Drosophila melanogaster: one gene and its partners. The protein of the gene in region 1 interacts with the protein of each later gene in a pairwise test. Each region holds a gene or a part of one and is shown on either strand. Other genes may lie near its edges. The genes, in order: CG3740, CG5687 and mRpL32.

Region 1 (3,547 bases):
CAGGAGCTGCAGCGTGAAATGGCCGAGACTACGGAGCAAACCGATCGCGTCACCGCCGAGTTGCAGCAATTGCGCCAGCACAGCCTCACCGTTGAGTCTCAGGATACTTGCGAAATTTGCGAGATGATGCTGCTGGTTAAGCCCTTTTTCATCTTCATCTGCGGCCACAAGTTCCACAGCGATTGCCTGGAGAAGCACGTTGTGCCCTTGCTCACCAAGGAGCAATGTCGGCGCCTCGGCACTCTAAAGCAGCAACTGGAGGCGGAGGTGCAAACGCAGGCGCAACCGCAGTCAGGTGCCCTGAGCAAACAGCAGGCGATGGAGCTGCAGCGGAAGAGGGCGGCACTGAAAACCGAGATCGAGGATATTCTTGCTGCGGATTGCCTATTCTGCGGGCTGCTAATCAGCACCATCGACCAGCCGTTCGTTGACGACTGGGAGCAGGTGAATGTCGAGTGGGAGTAGTTCGCTACCACCGTCGTTCAGACCCAAATATTTATGTACATATAAAGTATTTATTATTATAAATAAACCTACACTGATCACAAAGGTTTCGACTGAGATAGCCGTCCAAATTCTACAGTTACCTGGCCATCGCCCACTTGCCCGCAGAGCAGGTCAGTCCACAATCTGCATGCGCAACTCGTTGGTCACGAATGACATGACAGTGTTAAGCACAGCCTGCTGAATGGAGGCGTTCTGGACAATCAGCGGCAGCAGCATCACCACGTCGGTGGGATGTATGTCGGCCACGGCCATGGTTACGTGCTGCACCAGCTGCTCTCGCTGTGCGTCCGTCAGGTCGTTTAGGATGACTTCGCCCAGCGGACGGAATGTGCCTGTTCGGGAGGAGGGAAGTGGAAATGTAGTGAGACTGAGTACGGGAGTTCTCCTCCGCTTACCGCTTGTCATCTTGTAGGCGGCGATTCCGCCGGCGGCCCCGCCAACCGCCAGCCCAACGGGGCCCAGGAGCATGCCACCCGCAAAGGAGCAGGCGGCGCAGATTGCCGCTCCCTTGCCGGACTGCTTGACGGCGACGCGGACGTTGCGCTCGTCCGCTACGATGGCTATCGCCTCCATCAACTCGCGCGTATCTATGGGCATATTTAGGCTACGTGGAGTTGGCCCGAATTTCGCAACGCTATGCTAGTATTTCCTGTTTAGACTTTGTTCCGTGCGGCAGTATGACGTTTCCGATTACGCCACCCGTTCCGTTTGTATCCTGCCTTTTAGTGTTGGTCTTGAATTCTCCAACTTGCTACTCGACAACATAAACAATTTCACGGAATCCGCTTGAAGGGAACTATTAAAAAGCTTATATTTGACTTAAAAAACAGCAACTTGATTAAACTTGTGAGCGCCAGATTCAGAGATGCGCAAACGGCGGTCACAATCGACGTTTATATCGATATATGGCCTTAACCCTTATGTGTTAACCCATTCCTGTTATGGGTCATACATTAAATTTCTTATATTAATCCTATAGGTTATTACTGTCCTGTTGCTAAGTTAAAGATGAACAATAAATTAAATATATATGTGTTTATTATATAAATTGATTCAACGGATTACGTTTGCCAACTATCGAATCGCAGTGCAAACGATGTCACTGTATCGATAAGTCGATTGCCCGCGGCGAACAGAGCATTTAACATCAGACTTAACAGCGAGTGCTCTGCTGCGCTGCGCGCACTTAACATTTGCATTTTGTTTTGTTCGTAGTTTATCAATTCGAGTCGAGATACTTTTGTGTTTCACCTACGTATCACACCCGACCGATTCTTCCCATGCACGGATCTGTGGCAGATCACCTGGCGGACCGAACGAGCCTGCAGAACCGCCCAGAAAGTAGCTCCTCTCCGCTGGGACTGGGATGTGCGCAAAGCATTTAAATTGTGAACACTTCCGTATGATTGCGATTCCTCGGATGTGGATGACCGCTCCGTTCCCGCGCCACCTAGTCGAGGAGTAAACCTGCCAGGGAGCACCTAGTGGAATTCATTTCGGAGGCGACATGCTCGCGTACACCCACGTAAGTCCAATGCGCATGCAGCTCTGCTAGTGTATGGGTGTACCTGTAGCAGGAGGGGTAGGGGTATGGACATGGGCATGCCGATACTGATATTGTGTTTATAATCTCGAAAGCACTCTAAATTGCTCCGAGGGAGGGGTGCTGCTAGTGAGGTTATACTACCCATGGCTCTATATTTTATACCACACCCAGTTATTATACTCATACAGCATAGGTATTTCTCATATTGTAGTTGTGAAAAGAAGCGCATTTGCCTTGAAATCAGAGGCCATCTTTAGTTAATCCTCGTATCCTCACACGCTATGGAACATTTAAGCCAAAAAGGAAATGTTTTCCATACCAAACCTATTATTGGCCTATGGTAATACCAAACTGTTATGCTGTTTTGACCAGCCAAAGATCTGGAAATAGCCCCCTTCCACTTCCACTCCATGCCGAAGCCGACAATTTGCCACCAACCGACACCGACCCGCCCACAATTGCTGCCTAACACAATTAATCTTTTTATTGCCCTTTTATCACATACGATTCGTTAATTAATTGCCGAATTAGCATGGCAGTGTTGTTGGCAGTTGGCCCGCAAGACGCTAAATCGAGTGGGCAAACAATTAGAAACCAGTTGGATACCGAAGACCCTCCCGACTCCCAGAGCCGCAGGCCCAGCAACTTATGCGTACAGGGTGTGCCTCACTTACCCTAATTACGGCAATTGGAGGACGAGCCAGGCCAAGCCCTCGTCGGTCTAATTCGATTTGCAAACAAACGCGTCTGGTGTAGCAAATATTTGCATATGTATGTCCAACGTGCGACACGGCGTTTTTCCCATTTCCCCACTCGATTCGCTTTAACGCGCCCTTTGATTGTCGTTGTCGTTGCAGGGCACATGGCTCCTGCTCCTGCTGCTCCTTGTAGCAGGCGCATGCGCGCGGCCAGAAATAGCACACACACCGGATCCGGCTGCACTAGGCGAGGAGTCTACTCCACATGCACACGCACATCCACAGGCTCGCCATCATCACCATGCCCATCCCCATGCGCCGCTGAAGGAAGATGAGCAGGGAACAGCAATACCTGCTCCCATCCTAACAACTGATAACGTGGGCATTGGGGAAACCACGACGGCATCAAGTTTGGCCGAGACGCAAAGCATGTCCGATCCGGGATCTGTGACAGACACAACATCCACAAGCACATCGCACTCCACCTCGACCACGTCGACCACTTCGCCCGCACCCCTTCCGCCGGCTGCTCCCGAACAGCCCGAGTATCTGAAGCACTGCTTCTATGCAGAAGAGCAGCTGTGTGGCCACACCTTTGACGGACGAGCCGAAACCTCCGAGGGCCAGGGCTCGACAGTCGCGCAGTCGGAAGCCCAGAACCGAGGAGGACAGGGGAACAGCCAGTGCCAGTGCAGGGAGCACCCGACGCGGCCAAACTCCTGGTACTGCTGCAACATATCGCAGCTGACGATGATCTCAAGCTGCAGCAACATATCCAAGTGGACCAACCTGCACG
Region 2 (3,755 bases), on another chromosome or scaffold:
GGCGGTGGCTGCACTCATCGTGGTTTTAACTTATAATCCACGGGTAATAAGCAAATCTTTGTATTTATTCCTTGTAAATATTTCCTAAATAAAAGTATGGTAAATTAGAGATGGACAAAAGTATCTGAAAATAATCGATACTTTGCTTACAAATATTATCGATGCCTATGCAGCTCAGCAAAACCAGAGTGGCAACGCTATCGAACAAGGCCCGCAATTTGAAATATTAAGAAAGTTTTACTACATATATATGGTGAATATTGAATTGCAATGACGGAAGTGCGATGACTTCGCAAAGCCAGAATTAAGGCCAGCAACTAATTGAGACATTCGATAATTGAAAATATTAATACACAGAAAGAAATGGAGCAATTTATTGTTAGACAACTATATATTGGAAAAAACTATTGAAAGTAAGAAATTCATTTTCATTTAAGCTTTTTTGGATTGCAAAAAATTTAAACATATATATTGGGTTCCTTGGTGAAAAGGAAAATGTTCTTTTCTGTGCTGTTTTTATAAACAAGTGTTTTAGCAATGTCAACGCCCACTCTCATTAGTAAATTAATTGACTACTACGCTTTCTCCAATTCCCATACGATGGATAGAGGGAGGACGGAGGAGGGGTGCTTGATCTTGTGTAATGCCGGAATCGAATCCAAAATTCTTTTTATTGGTATTGCGTATTTTCAGTTTCGACAGCACGCAGCCAGCACGTGTGAAGATTGTCTTGTAATGTTTGAAAAACCGTTCGGATCTGATGTGATGTGATTTGATACCCACCCAACCGGACCAAAGTCCGAAAGAACCACTTGGCGGACGAGGGGCTCGACCAGTTTTGTGACGTCTTCGGCCACTTGCATCCGAGGAACAGAGTTAGCTGGATTTGCTTTGGATATGGATGGGGATGGGGATTTGGAATGGAATGGAATTGGAATGGCATGGGATGGGATCGTTTCGGGCCTAAACACCGAGACGCATTTGCCGAACTGCTTTTAACTGCTTTTCGTCGGCTGAGGTAGTTGAATGGCCAAGATTTACATGAGACTGTTAGTTAACGACATGGCGGGCATATTTAATTAATGCAACACGCTTCATGCTTAAGTGCATATCTGCCTAGCTAACTCACTGACCTTTAGAAAAATGGGCGTCGATTTGGTGACTTTCCGCTTGGGGGGAAGTACCTGCTGAATATTTGGAGACCCCCTTTCTTTTTGCCACTACATACTAGATATGTACATACATTTTACATTTATCAATTTATTGCGATTTGAACTCTTTTTGAACTGACCGGCGCCGTTTCAGTTCAAATTTAAATTCAAACTGGGAATACATTTCAATTAGAATTAAACACCCACACTGGCGCACAGGAATTGTAAACAAATAATTTTCTATTAGCGGGAGAAAGAGTGTCATTCCTGATCAAAATCGTACCAGATCGAACTCGTTATCGTTATCCAAGTAAAACACCACATAGCCAGCAATTGAGGCGAGGCGACAAGTGTACAAAAAACGAAAGATATAATCGTTTCCATTATTAATTGGCGCACTTTTTGCCTTTGTGACTCGAGTTACTTAAAAAGTAATAAAGGGTGAGACAAATGGAAATATTTACACATCACGCAATCCCAAACTGGCCAAGAACCAGCAATTAAACTTTTATGTTTGTTTACAGCGCATTTCACTTGGCTCAACTTGCCACAATTAACAATCGCCATCGAGGGATATGCAAAGGAGTTGGAAAATACCGGATATTTTCCGGCCATTCGTGGAGCGTCTTCTGCAGAATTGAAAATGAATCTTCGCATATGAATCAGAGCGTTTCAATTCCCTGAAATTAATTGATAGCAATTTAGGAAACGGTTTGGCAAACATTTATACACGATTTTCAATTAAACGTTTCCTCAAGCTTATTTTACTTATACCCATCATATTTTTATATACATTTACTTAATACCTACATACCTACCTGATTATAAGTTTCCTATCATTTTCTCAATCTACTAACCTTTTAATTTAAAGTTATATAATATTACATTAATAAACATTTAATATTTAATATCTGTTTCATTTATAGTATGAACCATAATGTCTTTGGTTTTATTTTTTAAAATAGGCTTAGTGCCCAGAGTCTGTTGAAAATAAGTTGCCTATATCTTAGCACTCCACACGACCATTGGCTGGCGATCGAGTTTCCCTCTCCGTGGAGATCGGCGATATCATATCCGGCGACGCTTCGCCTGCTCTTAGATCGATTTTCTCTCTTCTTCGCTTTTCAGACCCCAAAGAGATCTCGATGTGGTGGGGTTCCCGAAGCTGAAGCTGGGAGCCCGAGATCTGAGATCCGAGGCCTGAGATCCGAGATCTGTGATTTGCCTGCGCCGCCTTGGGTGTTGTATAAAATAGCGTAACGGCCGCTTGCAAAACTCATTCATTTAAAAATTGTCAATACGTTCGAACAGCGATCGACGACGAGCTGGGAAAAAAGGGAAACAACTAGTGCTCGAAGTGAAAAAAAAACTACGGCAAGGACTCGGCTCGAGGAACCAAATCCAAACAGTGATCAGTTTCATTTTGTGACTAACTAAGAAAACACGTTAATGAAATACAGAAACAATCGTGGCACAATATTGCAAATCCAGTTCAGAACATTTCTAAGATACAGTGCAGCAAACCTAATTCCATTTGAGAGCTAAACGAAGACGACAACCGAAGGATATCGAATTTGACGAATTGAAAAATTACTAACCAAGGTGAGAAGTTGTTCAGTTTTTCAGTGAAAGCGGCAATGCATGCCAGTGAGTTATTTCGAAATTTATCATACCGATTGTCACTGATAATTGGTAGTTGCAAAATATCTCAGAACATCAGAATAGTAAAAAGCATTAGCCCAAAGGAAATTTATTCCAATTACTCATGACTAACTAAAACTAGAGTAAAAAGTTGCGAGGGCAAAAACAATTTGTAAAATGCATTTGTCGAACAAGCTAATAAAGCTGAAAGTATTTATACCCATTCCGAAGGCATTTTAATATTTTGTCGCTTGTGTTACTTCACTCTGTTTTTTAGCTGGCTAATCTCGCCAGTTTTGAACTAGGTAATGTTTGCAGCTGTCGTGGCCGTGGAAAATCTCCTTGCTTGCGATTGGTATCTTCTGCCAACTTGTCAAGCGGACTATTTTGTTTAAATTAATTATAATAGAATAGAAGCGAGTTCGCCCAGACGAGATAAAAAAAAAGCCGAGGAAAGCAAAACAAAACACGCATATTAATTGGGCTCGAAGACGATGATGATGCCATTTAATGGAAGCGAAGGGCCTTTGGAATGGGCTGGGCGAAAGTCCACCAATTAAGCCAGACGCCTGTCCTCAACCAGAGCCCACAATTCATTTGACCCGTGTGTTCCTCCACCAAGGAAAACGGGTTTCACCCCAAACACAAATAGCCAACAAACAAATGAGCAATAAATATGATTTCGTAGTTTAGATTACTCAAATCAGAAGTTTGTAAACTTGAATAAAATATTCTACGATGAGCTAGAAACTAGAAGGAGCCTAGACCATTCCTTACTGGTATTTTCTCTCTGTGCATCTGGACATCTCTCTTGTGGTCGGGCCTTTTGCTCTTAGTTTCCGGCCTTGCCTTCGGAGACTTGGAAGCTGCTCTTCGAAGATTCGCCGAGCGATGGCGAATTTCTGGCCCAAACCGGCGCAATCCGGCTCAGTCCAATGGCCACCGATCTAAACCAGTTGAATT
Region 3 (3,470 bases), on another chromosome or scaffold:
CTTCATGCCGGATCTGCATGCATCTTTGGCGTCGCTAGGAGCCGAGTTACTTGTGGATACTATTAACAACCTATCAGTAAGACTTAAGGAAGCCAAACCCCAAGATAGTTCAAGGGTCAGCTATGGTAAAGCATATCTAAGCACTTCGAGAACCTATATAAACTATATTTTTGCCTTCAGCTCCCAAGATTACCAGTAAAATCACAGAAATTATCTGGTCCGAGCTGAGTGCCATTGAAATATACACTCGTCATCGAGCTTTGTATGGCTACAAAAACCTTACAACCAACTTTTTGGGCAAGCAAGTGCAGTTGCTGGAGTTGCGATTACCGGAGAAGAGAGTTCCCGTCCAAGAACCTGGTGCCATCAGCTACCTAAGGAAGTCGAGATCCCTCATAATCGGATGTGCTCAGCAGAGTCAGTTGGAAGTGCTTCAGTTACGCGTGGAAGGTAGAAAACCTATGAGTGCCCAGGACTTTAACAACGGATTCCTGAAGCAAGCAAGGTCCTTATCCTTCACAGAGAATAAAATAGCATCGATTTGATAACGAACGTGTGGATTTAATGCACAATGGATGCTTAGTATCTAGGCCAAGTCGGAGGGCTTGACTTCCTTGGTTTCGGACAGCTGCTGCGTGGATTTTTGGAGCAGATTCTTGGTGAACCACATGGGACGAGGCTTCTTCATCTCCACGATGCGCTTGTTTTTCAGATCATCTGTGGACTGTTCGGCCTTCTCGCCTTCATAAAGAACGATTACTTCCTTGTCCACGGGATCTAGACCGAGTGTCTCCTGGATTTTCGACTGCATGAGCTCAGTCTCCTTCAGGACCTTTTGGTAGCAGAAGGCTGGAAGAGCAACATTAAAGGTGGCTACCTCTTTGTATACTTTTAAGGCTACTTACGACAAAGAACTCCCATCTCGTGGTCATGGCCACATTGCAGACAGGAGCGGAGGTTTCTCTTCTCCCTCAAAGGCTTCCAGTTGTATTCCGGATATCCGAACTTCCGCTTCAGGCGTTTCTCCACGGATCTTCTGTGCTTCGGAACAGCCCACAGCAATCCGTCGCCAATAAGCTGCTTCAAACTGAATTCCTGGGAGGATTTAGGGCTGTGATCATGCTGAAAACCGGCCAACGCTAAAGCTGTGTAAAAAGTGGGTAAGTCAGGGTAACTTTATCTTGGGCTGGTGCTTCTCACCAGGAGGGTGTCCTCCATGTGGCAGGAACAAGCTCTCTAAGTTCCTAATAAAGTTTGTAATTGATAAAAACAAATTTCTAGACATCTTGTTGCTGCTCTTCTGAAATTTACGTAAACGTGATTAGAGATGCGCAAGAGGAAACAGCTGTGCTATCGATATGTTTATAGAAAAACGTAAGTAAGGCACAAAATAGATGTAAAAATGTTAATTCAAAAAAGAGCAATAAAAATGGTGTAACTACTTTTAAAATAATGTCAGCATCCGTAAATAACTACCGTTTTAAGGTTGCAGACTTTGTCGCCTTACGTTGCACACTTCTAGTGCTACGTTTTAGCCGGCTGCCTTGCGTCACCGCGCACGTTGCAACCCTAAACAGCTGTTCGCAGCAGCTGTTCTGCACTGTTACGTCAAAATAAAGTAGTGAAAAGGTGCAAATTGCGTGCGAGTTAAATAAAAACTATTTGCCAGGCGGAAAAACGCGTTTTCATCGGGATCTTTGAGCGTCCCAGTTGTTGCGGAACATGAGGACACTGGCGGGACTAATTGGTAGTGGCGGTAGTGGCCATAGGACCTCTGTGAGCAACGCTTGAGTCCAGATATATCCCTCCAATAGTGTGACCCATAGGTAGCCTGGGGTCATCCAAACAGACCTCGACCCCCAGTGACTGTAAAACCGCGTGGCTGCCTTAGCCACCGAAATCCCCGTTCAAGTTCAAGCCGATCTTACCTTCGTGAGCGATCGTTTCCACCACAGTCGGCCAGTGGGATTCCCACCACACCTGACCGCGCGCACGCGCATCGATTCAAAAATCCACAAAAAGCGAAAACACTTCGCTGGAGCTGCTGAAGCCAAACGCAAGCAAACCGCGCTTCGCCGTCGCCTCGAAATCGTTAGTCCATCGATACCCCGAACTCGCCACACAATCGCGCGTTTTTCAAATCCTGCGAGCCTGCAAAAAACATAAACAAAACCCACTATAATGCTGTTCACCTGTTGAATTCTGTGCCTGTGTCTCGATCAAGAAGCTGCATCCTACCCTTCCCACAAAAAAAAAAACCATCGCATAAGCCCTGCTACTTACAAATCCTCACAAACAAAACCCACAAAATGGCCTGCTTGAGCACTTCCGGTCGCGTCGTGTGCGGCTCGCGTCGCCAGCAGGCGCACAAGCTGCTCTATCAGCTCTTCGGATCCCGGCCAGGATATACAGCCCCGTCCGCCGCAACCGGATTATTCAGTCCGCCCAAAGTTCAACAGCAGGCCATGCGACTCTACCACGGATTAAGCTTCAGCATGGGCAAGGATTACCCCGATCTGCTGGTAAGTTCACTGTCGGGCGAAGCCTACACAGCGAGAAAAGTGTTGTGTTAAATGGTAAAAATAGTTGAAGTTAGAAAAATATGGAAAATATGAGGATTTCATTTCTGGTAAACTTGAAAAGGAAAAGATACTTTTTATAAGCAGTACAATTTAAGTGATTCCTTTTAAAATTTGCAAATGTGAAATAAATCCTTATAAAATTGGATTGAAAATGTATTAGTTTTTTTTTTTTGCCGTGCAGAGTGCATTGGCTGCAAGCCAACTCTTTTGGCCGCTAATGCGTCTGCGTGACTTTGGCTTTTGCTGTCCGCTTTTCTTTTCTTCGCTGCAAAGCCAAAAAGAAAATGAAAGTGAAATTGGTTGCTGGCAGTTGTCCGTTGCTTGTTGGTTGTTGGTTGTTGGCCATTGCTTTTGTGCAAGTAGCGTGAAAAACAACTTGTTGCGCCCACAGTTGCAGTGTTGTTGTTGGCGGAAGCTGGCGCATTTATTTATTATTGTGCCTTGGCTTTTTTACCATTTGCCGAACGCCTCTGTTTTTCTCCGCAACGTTTCCATGTGTTTTTCCCCGCATTTTTGCAAGGTGAAGTTTTTCATCTGCCTCTCTTTCTGGCCCGATAATTATGTCTCTTTCTGGTCTGTCTGTAGTTTGTCATTATTTTTATATCGTTGACAAGTCGCTAGCCTGCAGTGTTTTTCTTCCTTTTTCATTTTTTCTTTGAGTTATGCAATTTCGCTGGTTGCATTTGAGCTCTGGTTTATTGCTCGTATTTATCAATATTTATCGCCCGCGTTGTTGATTTTCGCGCTATTTGTGGCGCCAATAAACAGCTGATTGGGGGCCAGTGCCCCCAAAACTGTGCTCCACTTGACTGGGAACTGCGCGTATACGTAATATCTCAATTGTGTTCTGTTCTGTATTGTGTCGAACATGCGGATTTTGTACCCTTA

What was found.
Region 2: the proteins of CG3740 (region 1) and CG5687 interact in a two-hybrid assay, tested with the Drosophila melanogaster proteins (one large-scale study listed by BioGRID).
Region 3: the proteins of CG3740 (region 1) and mRpL32 interact in a two-hybrid assay, tested with the Drosophila melanogaster proteins (one large-scale study listed by BioGRID).

The regions. Positions count from the first base shown.
Region 1 is NC_004354.4:1,667,906-1,671,452, forward strand, and holds CG3740 (uncharacterized protein), read right to left. Parts: upstream 1,393-3,547; 5' UTR 1,105-1,392; coding exon 903-1,104; intron 884-902; exon of another isoform or gene 840-883; coding exon 619-839; 3' UTR 501-618; downstream 1-500. Other genes in the region: dor (deep orange), read left to right, coding at 1-465; hfw (halfway), read left to right, coding at 2,015-2,032, 2,911-3,547.
Region 2 is NT_037436.4:1,937,439-1,941,193, reverse strand, and holds the start of CG5687 (uncharacterized protein), read left to right. Parts: upstream 1-2,090; 5' UTR 2,091-2,600; coding exon of another isoform or gene 2,601-2,696; 5' UTR 2,697-2,753; intron 2,754-3,755. Other genes in the region: Mfap1 (Microfibril-associated protein 1), read right to left, coding at 1-18; CG46523 (uncharacterized protein), read left to right, coding at 2,601-2,696.
Region 3 is NT_033777.3:31,250,734-31,254,203, reverse strand, and holds mRpL32 (mitochondrial ribosomal protein L32), read right to left. Parts: upstream 1,333-3,470; 5' UTR 1,286-1,332; coding exon 1,201-1,285; intron 1,146-1,200; coding exon 906-1,145; intron 850-905; coding exon 587-849; 3' UTR 546-586; downstream 1-545. Other genes in the region: CG1750 (uncharacterized protein), read left to right, coding at 1-125, 181-545; qless, read left to right, coding at 2,310-2,522. UniProt on the Drosophila melanogaster protein: Component of the mitochondrial large ribosomal subunit (mt-LSU). The mitochondrial ribosome (mitoribosome) is a large ribonucleoprotein complex responsible for the synthesis of proteins inside mitochondria.